Linked DNA regions of Sus scrofa. The protein of the gene in region 2 purifies or fractionates together with the protein of the main gene of each other region. This does not show direct contact. Links are inferred from orthologs where the notes say so. Each region holds a gene or a part of one and is shown on either strand. Other genes may lie near its edges.

Evidence for each region.
Region 1: the proteins of RFC1 (region 2) and RFC4 fractionate together in Homo sapiens (co-fractionation; 7 studies listed by BioGRID and IntAct, counting the BioPlex papers as one, with this or other methods). This does not show direct contact. The link is inferred for Sus scrofa from reciprocal best matches to the Homo sapiens genes RFC1 and RFC4.

What each region holds. Positions count from the first base shown.
Region 1 is NC_010455.5:124,587,170-124,594,471, reverse strand, and holds the end of RFC4 (replication factor C subunit 4), read left to right. Parts: intron 1-230; coding exon 231-350; intron 351-2,058; coding exon 2,059-2,202; intron 2,203-2,389; coding exon 2,390-2,510; intron 2,511-3,397; coding exon 3,398-3,523; intron 3,524-4,673; coding exon 4,674-4,754; intron 4,755-4,823; coding exon 4,824-4,940; intron 4,941-5,020; coding exon 5,021-5,116; 3' UTR 5,117-5,180; downstream 5,181-7,302. Other genes in the region: EIF4A2 (eukaryotic initiation factor 4A-II), read right to left, coding at 5,826-5,970, 7,223-7,302. UniProt on the Homo sapiens protein: Subunit of the replication factor C (RFC) complex which acts during elongation of primed DNA templates by DNA polymerases delta and epsilon, and is necessary for ATP-dependent loading of proliferating cell nuclear antigen (PCNA) onto primed DNA.
Region 2 is NC_010450.4:30,630,809-30,639,560, forward strand, and holds the start of RFC1 (replication factor C subunit 1), read right to left. Parts: upstream 5,125-8,752; 5' UTR 4,937-5,124; coding exon 4,934-4,936; intron 1-4,933. UniProt on the Homo sapiens protein: Subunit of the replication factor C (RFC) complex which acts during elongation of primed DNA templates by DNA polymerases delta and epsilon, and is necessary for ATP-dependent loading of proliferating cell nuclear antigen (PCNA) onto primed DNA.

The sequences.
Region 1 (7,302 bases), on a different chromosome or scaffold from region 2:
AATACATTATGTGATATCATCTACCTTTTTTTTTTTTTTTAATGCATGGGAAAAAGCCAGAATGTTAACTGTATGCCTTTGCAAAAGAGATAATACAGGATTAATTGTGTGCCTTCTATCCATATTGTTTACTGGGTGTATTTTAAACTACTGAAAACTATGCAAATATTAAAATATGGCTTAAGCCTGTGTTATATGCTGTATGATGTTTCCTGTTCATCTTGACATAGGCCTGAACTTTTTCGATTAAGAGTTCTTGAGTTAAATGCATCTGATGAACGTGGAATACAAGTTGTTAGAGAGAAAGTAAAGAATTTTGCCCAATTAACTGTGTCAGGAAGCCGTTCAGAGTAAGTAAGCTTATCTTTTTTATACCAAGTCATTGTATTTGTTAAAAATACATGTTTCTGCCACATTTTTGAGTTATTCAAACCTAGAAATGACCTTTCCATTATAATAATGAATTTTAAGTTGTTTAGCTATCAGGGGTTTTTAATTGATATTTGTCTAAGGAGTATTTATTCACCTCTGCAGTACTCTGCTCTACCAACTGAGCTATTGAAGAGTGCTAAGGAGTACTTATTAATCAATGTGATGGCTTTGCTGATACACTCATAATAAAAATCCTGATTTTTGCTATTGGGTTATTTTTAAAAGTCCTGTCATGTATCTTAAATTTCTATTTATGTTCATAATTAGGGTAACAATATAAGTCCTTGTCCAAACTGGGACACTTTTAGAGCAAAAGAGGAAGTGTTAATAATTAAAATTGGATATACCTGGAGTTCATTCAATAGGGGTCTTTAGTCAACTACTTAGATTCCTTTCCTTGGGTGGCAAAGTTCCAAGGTTAAATTTTTGTACCTGGTATATATTTAAATTTATATCAGAGCACACTTAGGAATTTGTAGAAACTGAATGACTCAATTTTTCATCTCTATCTAGGATTGACAGTGTATATAAATCATACAGATGATAAGGGCCTTAGATCAGGAGTAAAAAACTCTTACAACTCAATAATAAAAAGACAGTTCAAGGAGTTCCCTTGTGACACAGTAGGTTAAGGGTTCAGCATTGTCACTGCAGCAGCTCAGGTCACTACTGTGGTGCAGGTTTAGTCCCTGGCCCAGAAACTCCCACATGCCACAGGCATGGCCAAAAAAAAAAAGAAGACAACTTAGTTTAGAAATGGGGAAAGGATCTGAATAAACAGTAATTACTCCCAGGAAGATATACAAATGGCCAATAAGCACATCAAAAACAGGTTCATTGACATCGTGAGCCATTAGAGAAATGCAAATCAAAACCATGGTGAGATCCCACTTTACACCTAATAGGACAGCTATAATAAAAAAAGATAGAAAATAAGTATTAGCAAGTATGTGGAGAAATTGGAACCCTTATACATTGCTGGTTGGAATGTAAAATGATACACCCACATTGAAAACAGTTTGTCATTTCCTCTAAAAGTTAAACATAGAATTACCATATGACCCAACAATTTCAGTCCTAGAATATTTACTGACAAGGAATGAAAACATACACATGTATACAAATGTTCATAGCAGCATTACTCATAAGTCAAAACATGGAACCCACTATCCAACAACTAAAGAATGGACAAATGGAAGTTCCCTTGTGGCCCTGTGGTGCAGGTTGCAGCTTGTGGCCCAGGTCCAGTCCCTGTCCAGGGAATTTCCACATGCTGTGGGCACAGCCAAAAAAATAATGAATGAAAAGTAGTATATCCATTTGCCATATTATTTGGTAATAAAAAGAAATGAAGTAATGATATATACTAAAAAGTATATGAACTTGAAAATATTAAGGGAAAGAAGCCCATCACAAAAGACAATGTGTTATGTTGTCTGTCAACACATGATTCCATGTATATACAGTGTCCAGAATAGACAAATCTGTGGAAACAGAAAGTGGAGATTCCTGATTGCCTGTGGCTGAGAGTTTGGAGAGAAATCATTTAAAATGGGTGATGAGACGATTCTAAAATCAGATTGTGATAATGATGTGTTATAACTCCTATGTGTTTCTCTGAATCAGTGGGAAGCCATGCCCTCCTTTTAAGATTGTGATTCTGGATGAAGCAGATTCTATGACCTCAGCTGCTCAGGCAGCTTTAAGACGTACCATGGAGAAGGAGTCTAAAACCACTCGATTCTGTCTCATCTGTAACTATGTCAGTCGGTATGTATAGATGCTAAGCAACCTTATTTTGATAGCCCCAAATAGGGAGAAAAAAAATTTTTTTTTTAATGTTTTAAGGCTACATTAGTTTCTCCTCCATCAAATCTTGATTTGTTCTTGATAAAAATGAGTTCTTTGAGGGAGTTTCTTCTTTAGACACTGACTTGTTTTTTCCAATATTTTACAGAATAATTGAACCTCTGACCTCTAGATGTTCTAAATTCCGCTTCAAACCTCTGTCAGATAAAATTCAACAGCAGCGATTACTAGACATCGCTGATAAAGAACATGTCAAAATTAGTGATGAGGTAATTACTAATATTATTACAATTATTGTAAATCATTAATTCCTTTGATGAATGCCTGTGAAGAGGCCCTGTCTGAAAGAGTCAAGTGTTACCTCATTTATGATGCCAGTTCTTCAGGCAAAGTTAAGCTAAATGAGCAATTAGAATGTCTACAAATTACAGCTTCAGCCTTTCTGTTGCTATTAGTTTGTCAATATTTCAGAGACCCAAAGTGTGGGCAGATTTCATACCTAGAATGCAGATGCTGCAACAACAAATCTCTGCATAATGACAAGATATTCCACTTGTTACTACTAATACTCCACTTCAAGAACTGATTTGGTATGATGACATTCTGGTATAGTGATAGAATATATAGGCCCCTTATTATCACGGAGTTTAACCATAATTTGAATTTTCTTTGCTATAAGTAATCAAGAAAATAGGATCCCCAAAGTGGAACATCTTATCTGTTTATCTCTGCAAATTTTTTTCAAAGGAGAGAGATCTCAGGAGTTCCCTTCATGGCTCAGTGATTAATAAACCATGAGGATGTGGTTTGATCCCTGGCCTTACTTAGTGGGTTAAGGATCCCGTATTGCCGTGAGCTGTGGTGTAGGTCACAGACACGGCTCAGATCTGGCGTGGCTGTGGCTTAGGTGAGCAGCTACAGCTCCCATTGGACCCTTAGCCTGGGACCTTCCATATGCCGCTGGTGCAGCCCTAAAAAAACGCAAGAGGTCTCCTTCTATCGGACTGATGCTGTCTCTGAATTCTGCCACAGTAGGACTGACATTCTCTCAAAAATAGAAATAGATGGTTTTTTTCCCATTTAGCCAGTGCTTTTTACTTTTATTAAAGTCAGCCTTGATTGGCCATAATAGGTTAAAAAACTTCTTTCTCTTCAGGGAATAGCTTATCTTGTTAAAGTGTCAGAAGGAGACTTAAGAAAAGCCATTACATTTCTTCAAAGTGCTACTCGATTAACAGGTGGAAAGGAGGTCACAGAAAAGATGATCACAGATATTGCTGGGGTAAGTGCACTGGATATTCTGTAATTCTTTTAGTTGGCTTTTTTTGTTATTATAATTCAACACATATATATGGAATACTTACTATGTGTTATCTTAGTCTGTTCAGGCTGCTCTGACAAATGCCATAGGCTGAAATACAGTTCTGGAGACAAGGAATCCAAGATCAAGGTGCCCAATGATTCAGTATCTGTTAAGACGACTTCCTAGCTCAGTAGACTCCTAGTTCATGGATGGCCTTCACCTCCCTGATCCTCCTGTGGCAAAAGGGAGCTTTTTTCATAAGGGCATCAATCCCAGTCATGAGGGTTTCCTCCTTACGACCTCATCAACCTCCAAATACCATTACAACATTAAGGATTTCTCACATCAATTTTTTTTTTTTTGGTCTTTTGTCTTTAGAGGGCAGCACCCACAGCATATGGAGTTTCCCAGCCTAGGGGTCTGATTATGTGGGATCCAAGCCGCATCTGTAACCTACACCACAGCTCAGGGCACTGCTGGATCCTTAACCCACTGAGCTAGGCCAGCAGATGCTAGTTGGGTTTAACTGCTCAGCCATGACAGGAACTCCCCCTAACATCAATTTTGAGAGAATACATGTAGTCTATATAGCATCTGCTAAATATTGTGGTAGTAACAGTAATAAAGGAGTAAGCTGGGAGTATCAACGCTTCAGGCAGTGATGTGGCTTAAAACACTTTTTTTTTTTTTTTGTAAATGTAATGTGACCAAAGGTCATATTCAGTTTTTAAAAAAATTAAAAGAATCCTCTTCTGTCAGTTGTCTTTGGATACTCCTGTCAGGGTTCACCCCAGGATCACTATTTTATCTCCTCAGTGGCATCTTGAAGAGAACTATGCACCCACACTGACCATCTTGGGCTCAAACTTGAAAAAAAAAAAGGAATTTGCAAGCAAAACGCACCCGAATCAGTTTTCTGGGAAGCTTTATTCAGGTTTAGTAGTTATCAAGATCATCTATCTGGAGCCCAGAATAATAGCACAAGGCTTAAGAGCTAGCTTTACCAGCTTTTTCTCCCCTTGTGCCCCCCCCCCCCCACCAAGGTAGCAGGAGTGCAGGTTATGTGCTGTTTCAAGTATGAGAAAGTTTTAAGACCCACATATCTAAAGTCTTCAAACTTTTATTTTAGGTAGTACCGACTGAGACAATTGATGGAGTACTTGCTGCATGTCAGAGTGGCTCTTTTGACAAACTAGAAGCTGTGGTAAAGGTAAATTTACTTGACTAACTCGGGAAGGGGAATAAAAACAATCACACCAAGGTTTTCCTTCTATTGCAGGACTTAATAGATGAGGGCCATGCAGCAACTCAATTTGTAAATCAGCTTCATGATGTGGTGGTAGAAAATGATAACCTTTCTGATAAGCAGAAGTCTGTTATTACAGAGAAACTTGCTGTAAGTAGGCATTTTCTACATTTCAGCACAAGGATATTCACTTAAAAGGGCTATTTTATTAACCTTTCACTTTCTTTTAGGAAGCAGATAAATGCTTAGCTGATGGTGCTGATGAACATCTACAACTAATAAGCCTCTGTGCTACAGTGATGCAACAGTTAACTCAGAATTGTTAAACCACACCCAGTTATGTATGCTTTTTAACTGATTTGTAATAAAAATGACCAAAGCACCCTTAAAGTGAATATACAATTTATTTAACATTTAAACTTCATTAAGACATGTGCAATATGGCAATTTTACTGGGGGTTTAACCCTACCTAGGATATGATTGCTTGCTGGGGCTTAGCAACAGGGTCCAGTTCACACTTAGCACTAATTAAATACTTTATTGAATAATTAAATACAATACCAAACAATGCATTCAAATGCTTTCTAGAAAAAAAAAATCAATTTTAAAGGCCTTTCTAATTCAGGCTACTGACAAACACAATAAAGGCAGGTATGCTAGTTTAACATAATTGGCTGATTTTATACAGCACTTATATCTTTTAGTCCACAAGTATATTATTAAATGATAGAGAACATCTAATACAACCATTTCTACAGAACTAGGAAATAAATTTCTAAGAAAGTAAGATTTTACAGACCCCATCTTTTTTATACCCAACCCCAACAGTCTAACTCTAAAGAGGATGAAGCCAATGACTTTCCTCACAAGAGCTCACGACTAAATGTCGCTTTGCTATCAAAATCTGTATTTCTGATCCGTTATGAGCATTGAGACAAGATTCAAATATTCCCAAAGAAAGAAGCACAATGCACGTTGTGATCGCCTATTCAGCAACAGCGAGCACTGCATTCAAAACTATCTCATCCCAGGAATTAAATAAGGTCAGCCACATTCATTGGCATTTCCTCCACTGTAGTATTGTAGAAAGTCTCAATGTCACGAAGAATCCTCTTGTCTTCTTCAGTAACAAAGTTTATAGCCACACCTTTCCTCCCAAATCGACCCCCTCTGCCAATTCTGTGTAAGAAAAAGAAATCAGCAATTAGACTTGTTTCTCATATGCTGCATGAAATACTGAACATGATGATCCACTTAACCATCAGCTGCTGTTTACTTATCATGGTTATAGTTCGTGCTTCTAATTGGAGCACTAGCTGCTAATCAATATCTAGAGAAAAAAATCTTCCTTTGCAGTTAGTGCCAAAAGGATTCAAGGCTTGTCTGGCTGCAAAATGAGATTTTATCAGGTGTCTTGAGCATTACTTTTTTAAAGCAGATGACAGTATATTGTGTTTGGGGTAGTGAATTTAAAGCCCATACCAAAGTGGGCCAGCCAAGAGCAGATGTCAGCCTGGGACAGATGTAAAACACCAGGGTAAAACAAAAAAGAGCAGTTATGTAATCCATTTCGACGCAACTTCTGGAACTGTAAACTGTAAATACAAATGCTGCAAGGTTAACTACTGCCTAAAACTTACTTCTTCCAGTGGGAAAACAAGTATTTGGTATGGTAACCCAAACTTATCACTGCTTTTTTTTTTTTTTTGCTCAGTTTCACACGTTGAAACTCTAATTATTCAAACGTGTTTACCTCCAAAACAGCTTTCTAACCTTCCTGATAAGATACCAGACAATACAAACCACCTAACAGGCTACTATACAAAATTCCTTGGCTGGAGCATCTTAAAATATCAAATAATCATGACAAAAGAAAAACAAATATAAATACCGACTCGCTCTTTATTCAAACAGTGTGCTGTTTCGCTTATGATTCCACGTCCTAAATTACGTCAACGCCGTTTCTGAGCGCCATCTGGTCATCAACTGCTGCTATCGACTCCTGTATTTTTTAAAAAGTCTTTTTTTACATCATATAACAAAGTACAATTCAATTTATTTAGGGATAAAGCCACTATAACTAAACCAGGGACTGCTCAAATTGCTACCAGACAACACCAAGAAAATCCCAACTACAGAGAAATCACCAAGAAAGCACATGGACACACGAGCATCACTAAAAATAAAGCTCAAAAATAAGCTAAAACCAACAGAACTAAAACAACCTCATCTGTGTATGAAGTCCACAATTTGGGCAACACTCACAACTGTTTTCCCACTGTGTCTGACCAATCTTCCCAAATACAATTACACCCTACCAAGTTACTGTCTTAATTCCCTGATTGGAGGTTACCTTTCACACAAATCAGTCAGTAGAAAAGCGAAATGAATTTTACCAATACAGTAATAAATCAAGATGCCACCTACTCACCTGTGAATATAGTTTTCACGATTGGTAGGTAGGTCATAGTTTATAACCAATGATACTTGTTGCACATCAATCCCACGAGC
Region 2 (8,752 bases):
ATCTGAATCACTTTGCTGTATAGCAAATGTATATATACGTATATGTGTATATGTATAGTGTCTGAATCACTTTGCTATATAGCAGAAATTAGCATAACATAAATTTCCACCTAAAGTTTCGTCAAAAAGAACAAAATACTTAGGAGTAAACTTAACAGAAGTGTAAAACCAATCTCTGAAAACTACAAAACATTGTTTAAAGAAATTAAAGACCAGAATTCCCATTGTGGCGCAGTGGTTAACGAATCCGACTAGGAACCATGAGGTTGTGGGTTCGATCCCTGGCCTTACTCAGTGGGTTAAGGATCCAGCGTTGCCGTGAGCTGTGGTGTAGGTTGCAGATGCGGCTCGGATCCTGCGTTGCTGTGGCTCTGGTGTAGGCCGGCAGCTACAGCTCCAATTGGACCCCTAGCCTGGGAACCTCCATATGCCGCGGGAGCGGCCCAAGAAATGGCAAAAAGACAAAAAAAAAAAAAAAAAAAAAAAAAGGAAAGAAATTAAAGACCTAAACAAATGGCAAGATAGCCCATGTTCATCGATCAGAAGACCTTATGTTGTTAGGATGGCAATATTCCTCAAACTGATCTAAAGATTCAACACAATCCCTATCAAAATCCTGCCAGCTTCTTTGCTGATTCTAAACTTCATATGGAAATTCAAGGGCCCCAGGACAGGCAAAATACTTTGAAAAAGAGTAAAGTTGGAAGACTCATACTTCCCAACTTCAAAACTCACCACAAAGCAACTGTAATTAAAAACGGTTACTGGCACTACAATAGACACATAGATTAATGGAACAGAATTCAATATCCAGGAAAAAAAAACCCTCACACTTAAAGTCAACTGATTTTTGACAAGAGAGCCAAGATAATTCAATGGGAAAATAGTCTGCAAAAAACTGGAGAGGTACATAGAAAAGAATAAACTTTTAACTCCAACTTCACACCATACACCAAAATTAACTCAAAATAGATCAAAGTCCTAAATGGAAGAGCTAAATCTATAAAAGAAGCACAAATCTTCTTGTCTCTGGATTAGGTAAGAGTTTCTTGGATATGACACCAAAAGCTCTGAGGAAGCGATGACTGACATTTGAATAAGACAGGTTATTCCAAGGAAAGGAAATAGCAAAAATAAAAGCCAAGAGAGAACCAGCTTAACACACTCAAAAGACAGACAGATGAGATCAGAAAGGTAGGAGAAGCCTTATGGCAAAAGCCACATTACAAACAGGTGACCGGAGTTCCCATCGTGGCTCAGTGGTTGTCAAACCCAACCAGCATCCATGAGGACTCGAGTTCAATCCCTGGCCTCACGCAGTGGGTTAAGGATCTGGCATTGCTATGAGCTGTGGTGTAGGTCACGGACGCAGCTCAGATCCCACCTTGCTCTGGCTGTGGCATAGGCTGGCGGCTGCAGCTCCAATTGGACCCCTCGCCTGGGAACCTCCATGTGCCACTGGTGTGGCCCTAAAAGACAAAAAAATAATAATAAAAAGTAAAAAAATAAATAAATAAAAGGGTGACCACACTGCTTCAGGGGAGCATTCACGCAGTAAATGACAATGTGAAGGGGGCAATGAGTCAATTTAGATGTATTCAGACTCTCAACAGCTCTTCAAAAAAAACCTATCCCTTAAGTCTCGTGTGTGTTTAATTCAATCTTATGCATATTTTCAATAAATAAACATGCTAGCCAATAAATTATATGTGCTGGCTTCTTTAAAATGGCATTTCTCAAATTTTATTCACATTTTGAGCAAATAATTAAATCTTCATAGCAATGCAAATCATTTACATGGCCATTTTTTTATTCTAAGTTCATTCCAATTACTTTAATAGCCAATATATTCACATGACCCAAAAATTCAAAAAGGTAAAATGTCTCCCTCCTATCCTGCCGCTCAGATTCACATTTCCCATCTTAGGAAGCAACAAATGTTAGCAGTTAGTTCTTTATGGATCTTTCGTATCTTCAAACAAATATGCATATTCTTTTTTTTTTTTTTTTTTTTTTTTGGCTGCACCTGCACCATGTGAAACTTCTGAAGCCAGGGATCAAACCTGTACCACAGCAGCAACCCAAGACACAGCAGTGACAATGCCAGATCCTTAACCTGCTAAGCCACAAGGAAACTCCCAAATATGCAGAGAATCTTTTCTACATATTGTTGTGCATCTTCTTTTTTCACTTACTTATCTTGGCAATTGTTTCATATCATGGCATAAAGTTTTCTCTTTTTTGGTGGGGGGTTTCTCTTTTGTCTTCTTAGGGCTGCATCTGAGGCACATGGAGGTTCCCAGGCTAGGGATCTAATCGGAGCTGTCACCAGATCCGAGCTGCATTTGCGACCTATACCACAGCTCACGGCAACATCGGATCCTTAACCCACTGAGTGAGGCCAGGGATCGAACCCACAACCTCATGGTTCCTGGTCAGAATCATTTCCGCTACGCCACGATGGGAACTCCAAAGTTTTCTTTTTAATGGCTGCATAGCATTCCATTTTGTGGATATAGTATTTTATTCCTTTATCAATAACTTTAATTGGAAAAGATGTGAGAAAAAGATGTAGCTCCCAGGGCAAGAGTTGCTAACTTTGATCTATGGAAGGGCTTCAGAAGATATGTGAATCCCCTAAACAGTGTGTATGAGTCCACATGTACTCTGTGGGCAGAAAACTTGCACACTATTCACCAGATTATCAAACGGAGCTATGACTCAAACAAAAGTTAAGAACTACTGTACAAGATAACTTGTATAAAGGTGTTCAATAAACATATGCTAAACAGAATTTGGGTCTAGGTTTCTGCTAATTTGTGTACTAGAGACAGAAGAACTAAATTAAATACCAATATAATCCAAAACTCTTAAGTACCTTACAGAAACTTTTCCCTTTAGAAACAGTAAAGCAGACCCATTTGACTCCCACTTCTTTTCCGAGAAGGGCTTTATTTTTCATCTGCACCATGAACAGGAGTACTAAGAAGGGAAAGAATCAATTGAAAATACCCAAATGGGAGTTCCTGTTGTGGCTCAGCAGAAACGAACCCAATATCCATGAGGATGTGGGTTCGATCCCCGGCCCCACTCAGTAGGTTAGGGATCCGGCATGCCCCCAAGCTGCGGTGTAGGTCACAGACACAGCTCCCATCCAGTGTTGCTGTCGTGGTGGCGTAGGCCTGCAGCTGTAGCTCTGATTTGACCCCCAGTCTAGGAACTTCTAAATGCCACACCTGCGGCCCTAAAAAAATATATATATATATTTATATATATATACTCAAATAACCAAAAGTTGACTCTAAACTGTTGTTCTCAGAGGCATCTTGTTTTTTCCAGAGGTATCTCTGCTGCCCCTTAAACTCTCTGTAATGTTCCATAGAGTCCTTCCTGAGAAAATTACATCATTGGCCACAGAGCTGTATATTGCCTACCTCATGCCAGGCACAAGAACAGAAGCTTTACATTAATTATCTTGTTTAATCCTCAAAACAGTCATTTAAGGCAGCTATATTTTCCTCCCTTTTACAGGTAAGGAAACAACAGGATTTAAAAGGTTAAAAAGTTAAGGTATTCACTTGTTCAAAACCACTTAAGCATTAAATGGTAGAGCAAGACTAAAACATCACCTCACTCTCACCTTCAAGACTCCAAAACTCATAAACTTTCCACAACACCATAGTGCCTGAAGTCCAAAATGTAATTATGATCATTTTAGGGAGGTAGTATAATCTAACAGAAAAACCAAGGTTGTAATCCTAGTTCAATCATTTATTACTTCTATCACAAATTGAACTCTAAACGCTTCCTTTACCATCTGTAACACTGGATTGCTGTGAGGTTTAAATGAGAAAAGGTATGTAAAGTAAAGGGCTCACATATTGACCTGAAGAAGACACCTGTTACAAAGTAGCTATTATTATCTTATCCTTCTTTGAGAAGAAATAAAAAAGGGCTGTAAGGTTTCCCAATTTGGCATAAAATTACACACACACACATACAGCCCATAACAATGACATTATAAGAAATAAGCTGAAAAACTACTGAAAAAATTATATCTGATTATTAGGTAGATTCTGACTTAATGGACCATCATAAATTGACCTTTAAAATAAAATACTTCAAACACACACCTGTATCTATTGCCATTCCAGTATGAACATGTTTGGAAGGCTGCATAATTATTTCACTATTTAAACACCGAGGGGTGTTTTGGGGGTTTTTAATTTTTTATTAAAGAATAGTTGGTTTAAAATGGTGTGTTAGTGAGGGTTTTTTTTAAGAGTATTGTTAACATCAGATGCTAAGTGATGACAGCCGTCAAATGCAGTACAGCTGTTTCTACTAGCTGTTTTCTTTTCTCCGGGGAAACCGTGTTATCCCTTTGATTTCTGCGAACTCCTCCAAACAAAATAAAACATCCTCCTGATGCCCTTGATCTCAAAAGAGCTCTGTGATGAGCGTTTCACCGAGCTGTTAATGACGAAAGTCGAAGGCCCGAGACAACTTATTCATTAGAAAGGAAAGTTTGTAACATTCTTCTCCTTCGTAACCCAAAACTTGGAATTAACGCTTTAGGCAGGACTCAAACCAAGGTCCGAGGCAACGCTAAACAGGAAAAGCAACTTAACCGCTGAGCCCTCAAAATCACCTTTATTACTCCCTTCCTCCCTTCCCCCAAGAATGGAAAAAAGTTAAACTGACGCGCAGCACCACGAGCCCTGCGCGCCGGCTGCGGCCGGGAGCTGAAGCCGCGGTCCAAGGAAAGGCGTGAGACCCGTGCCAAGTTTGTGGCCCCTTCCCTGCCTTCGCACTCCTCCGGAGCCTCGCATCACGATCCTCCCCAATCCTCCATGCCACTAGTGCCCGGTCCACACCCAACCTGCAAACTCTCCCCAACCCCCGAGCCGTACAGCCTCCCACGGGGGCTCACCATCACAGCCCACGGACGAAGGCGCTGGCGTGCAGGCTGGCCGGCTGGGGAATCCGTTACCGGAGCTCGGGATCCATTGGCGCCAACAACTTCTCCCGCGAAGTGGAAGGAGGTCGAGGCAGCGGCGCCCGGTGATGACGTCAGGAGGCGCGCAGCGTCCTCTCGGGCCAGGCCGGGGGCGGGAGGCAGGCGTAGCTACGTGGGCCCAGGTGCCGCCCCTGAGGCCGGCTGGGCCAGCGCGCTCCGGAACCCAGATCCACTCTCAGATTTGCGCCTTCGGCTTTTGGCCGCGGCGGTCAGATCGCGAAGTTACGAGATTGATTACCTCGGAAGGCGGGCAGATCCTCCGGGTTACCCATCTGGAAGGATGCATGCCCTCCTTAGTAGCTTTAAAATGTTTCTATTACCAGCCGCAGTAAGATGCTGATTTTAGATGTACGTTCACATATTAATTTTAATATCTATTCTGGAATAAGAATTCCACCAAACAGTATTTACCTTTTTTTTTTTTTTTTTTTTTTAGTGTTTGAGCAACTAAATTTGGTTTTTCGCCTACTTATAAGTTTTGAAAACTACCTTTAGGACAGTTTTATGTGTGTAATTCCAAAGCGAAAGAGACTAGTAAAGTAGGTATTACCACCCACTCCACTTTATATGAAAAATGTAAGGCTCAAACAAGCTGTGGGGCCTAGCTGGGCTTCTAGGCGTTCAGATTCCCAAACCTGCGCTGCTGAGTCCCTCAAAGGGGTGTATGTGTGAAGCTAAGGCATCAACAAGGTACATCTCCATAGAACAATGATGCTGAAAACTTTGGAGTAAACAAGTTTTATATTAATAGATAAGCAATTGAATTGTGGAACAGAATGTTGCATTTGCATTCAATTTTAAGTGAATATGTGAAACCTTAGGAGTGCAATGGGCAGAGCAATATCTCCAGTTTTGGCCCTGGACTTTCAAATCCTTATCCACCCACCCGCCCACCTCTTGTTCTCTCCTGCATTTTATCACACCCATATTTCTACTATGAAAGATACCAGAGCCTTCTGAAATACAGAAGCTAAGCATGGAGCACTCATATGTATTAAACAAACACCATAATATGTGCTAAGAATGTGGCTATGGACTGTCCCAGTCTTACTCATCTAATACCCACAATAATACTGGCTGCTGTTGTTATCCGCTATTTACAAAGGAGTAAAGGGATACTGGGGAACAGGGCCGCATTGCATGGGACCCTCTGAAGCCAATATGCTAGACGGTAAGCAAGTTAATATGCCTCAGTTTCCTCAACTGTAAAATAAGATAATAGTACTATGTTCTTCATTGGGTTATTATGAAACTGTTCCTGGCACACAGCTGATAGTAATCTTTTTTATTTAAGTCAGCTGTTATCACTATTATTTTTATATGAGGCTAAGTATTATCAAGGCAGATAATTCCAAAAATGAATTTATCTACTCCATAATTTTGCTTAGGGAAATACTTGATTGGGAAGGAGGGAGTCATTAGTCATTAGATCTTTGAGAAATCAATAAAAACTATGAACCTATCTCCCAGAAAAATGTACACAGCAGACACATCATATAAAGAACCTTAAGAACCTAAACCAATTTACAATGTTCATTGTGTTGTCAGTAAGCGAATAAGATGTATATTAAAAGGTTTGCGTATCTTTTACATTATACTACTTTAAACTTTTGCATTTGTTTTTTAGTATTTTGAAGCCTTCCTTGAATTTAGGTGAGACTTAAGTCAGAAGACTGTAATTTCCAGAAAGATACTGAACTGAATTTGTTGGATTGTTTTCTTTAGGAACATTTACTTGGACATTATCTCAGAAATGTAGCAGATGAGGAGATCTCTCCTGGCGCAGCTGGTTAAGGATCCCGTGTTGTCACTGCAGCAGCTTGAGTCACTCCTCTGGCACCAGTTCAATCCCTGGCCCAGGAACTTCCCTCTATCATCAGTGCAGCCAAAAAAGGAAAAAGAAAATGTACAGAATTAAAAACGGTGTATAGGAGCTCCCATTGTGGATCAGCAATAATGAACCTGACTAGTATCCATGAGGACGTGGTTTCGATACCTGGCCCTGATCAGTGGGTTAAGCATTGCTGTGAGCTGTGGTATAGGCTGGCAGCTGCAACTCCAATTAGATCCCTAGCCTGGGACCTTCCATATGCTGTGGGTGAGGCCCTAAAAAGACAAAAAATAAAAATAAAAATAGCCATACATGTTTTGACACTCCTCCCAAATATGGGCTGGCCTGTGACTGGTTTGAGCAAAGAATATGGTGGAAATGATGCTATGGTGGCCCCAAATGTAAACTTTAAGAGGACTAGCAGCTCCTGTCTTGGACTCTGGAGCCCTGAGCCACCACATAAAACAGAAGGGGCCAGCCAAGTACAGGCTTACAGCCATCTCTACCAGGAACCAAGCTTGTAAGTAAAACAATCTTGGACCCACCATACCAGCTGCTGGTGGAATTCCACTAAGTGACCCCAGGCACCACTACATAGAACAGGAAAATCACCTAGTCAAGGTTTGCCTAAATTCTCTGACCCAAAGTACTAAAAATGATAATAAAATTATTTTATTATTTAAAAACATATAATAAAATGTTTATAAAATAAAATGTTATGTTTATTTAAAATATAATGAAATTATTGTTTTTTTAAGGTACTAAGTTTGGAGGTAGCTTGTTTAAAGTAATAGATAACCAGAACAGAAATAGTTTAAAGAACCCAAAGGGTAACCAAGAAATAAGCATGAATGGAATATTTATGCTTATTTTCTCCACTGTGGTGATTTTTTATTGCTGTATCATTCAACAAATATTTATTGAGCATCTACTGTGTGTTGGCACTTTTTATGTGCATGCTGGGAAACCATAGTATACAAGACTGATGGTCCCAGCTTCCTAGAGTTTATATTTTTGAAGAAAAGAGAAAAGTAAGTAAGTAGACAAAAATAAATTCTGTACTTTAAGAATGAGTGCTATAAAGGCTTTATAAGATTTTAAACCAAAAGATTGCTATGATTCTATCGTTATACTTTGTATTTTATGGTCAAAAAGATGAAAAAAAAGATGATATTACTGTGTGTTTTGTGGCAAAACGTGATACTCAGTTTTCCATGGAGAAATGTAAAGGGTGCAAGAAAAGATTACCAAATATGTTTTTTTTTTTTTTTTTGTCTGTAGGGGAGTAACAGTTAATCTTCTTTCTGTTAAATGTGTATCTACGTAATAACTGCATCTGGATTTTATTCCAAACAGGGCATTATTCTATAATAGTGTCTAGTTTGAATTTATTCCAGGGAAAAGACCAGCCTGTGTGCACCTCGCATCTCTATGTGGCCTTCCTTCAACAGTTAAGAATAAAAAGATAATAGGTTGCTATGTCTCAGTATTAACTGAAAGACTGCAATAATGCAAAGCCAGGAAATTGAGGATACACAAACAAAATTGAGGATATAACAAACTAGGCCTATGGATTTTAGATAGTTTTTTAGAAAGGCCTAAAAAGTCATTTATCAGTGATGTAAAACATTAGCTAACAAAGATTCCTTGCATGTTTTTTGTTTTTGTTTTTCTGTCTCTTTGCCTTTTCTAGGGCTGCTCCCTCGGCATATGGAGGTTCCCAGGCTAGGGGTCTAATCAGAGCCGTAGCCAGAGGCCTATGCCAGAGCCACAGCCACAGCAACATGGGATCCGAGCCGTGTCTGCAACCTACTCCACAGCTCACGGCAATGCCCCATCGTTAACCCTTTGAGCAAGGCCAGGGATGGAAGCCGCAACCCCATGGTTCCTAGTCAGATTCG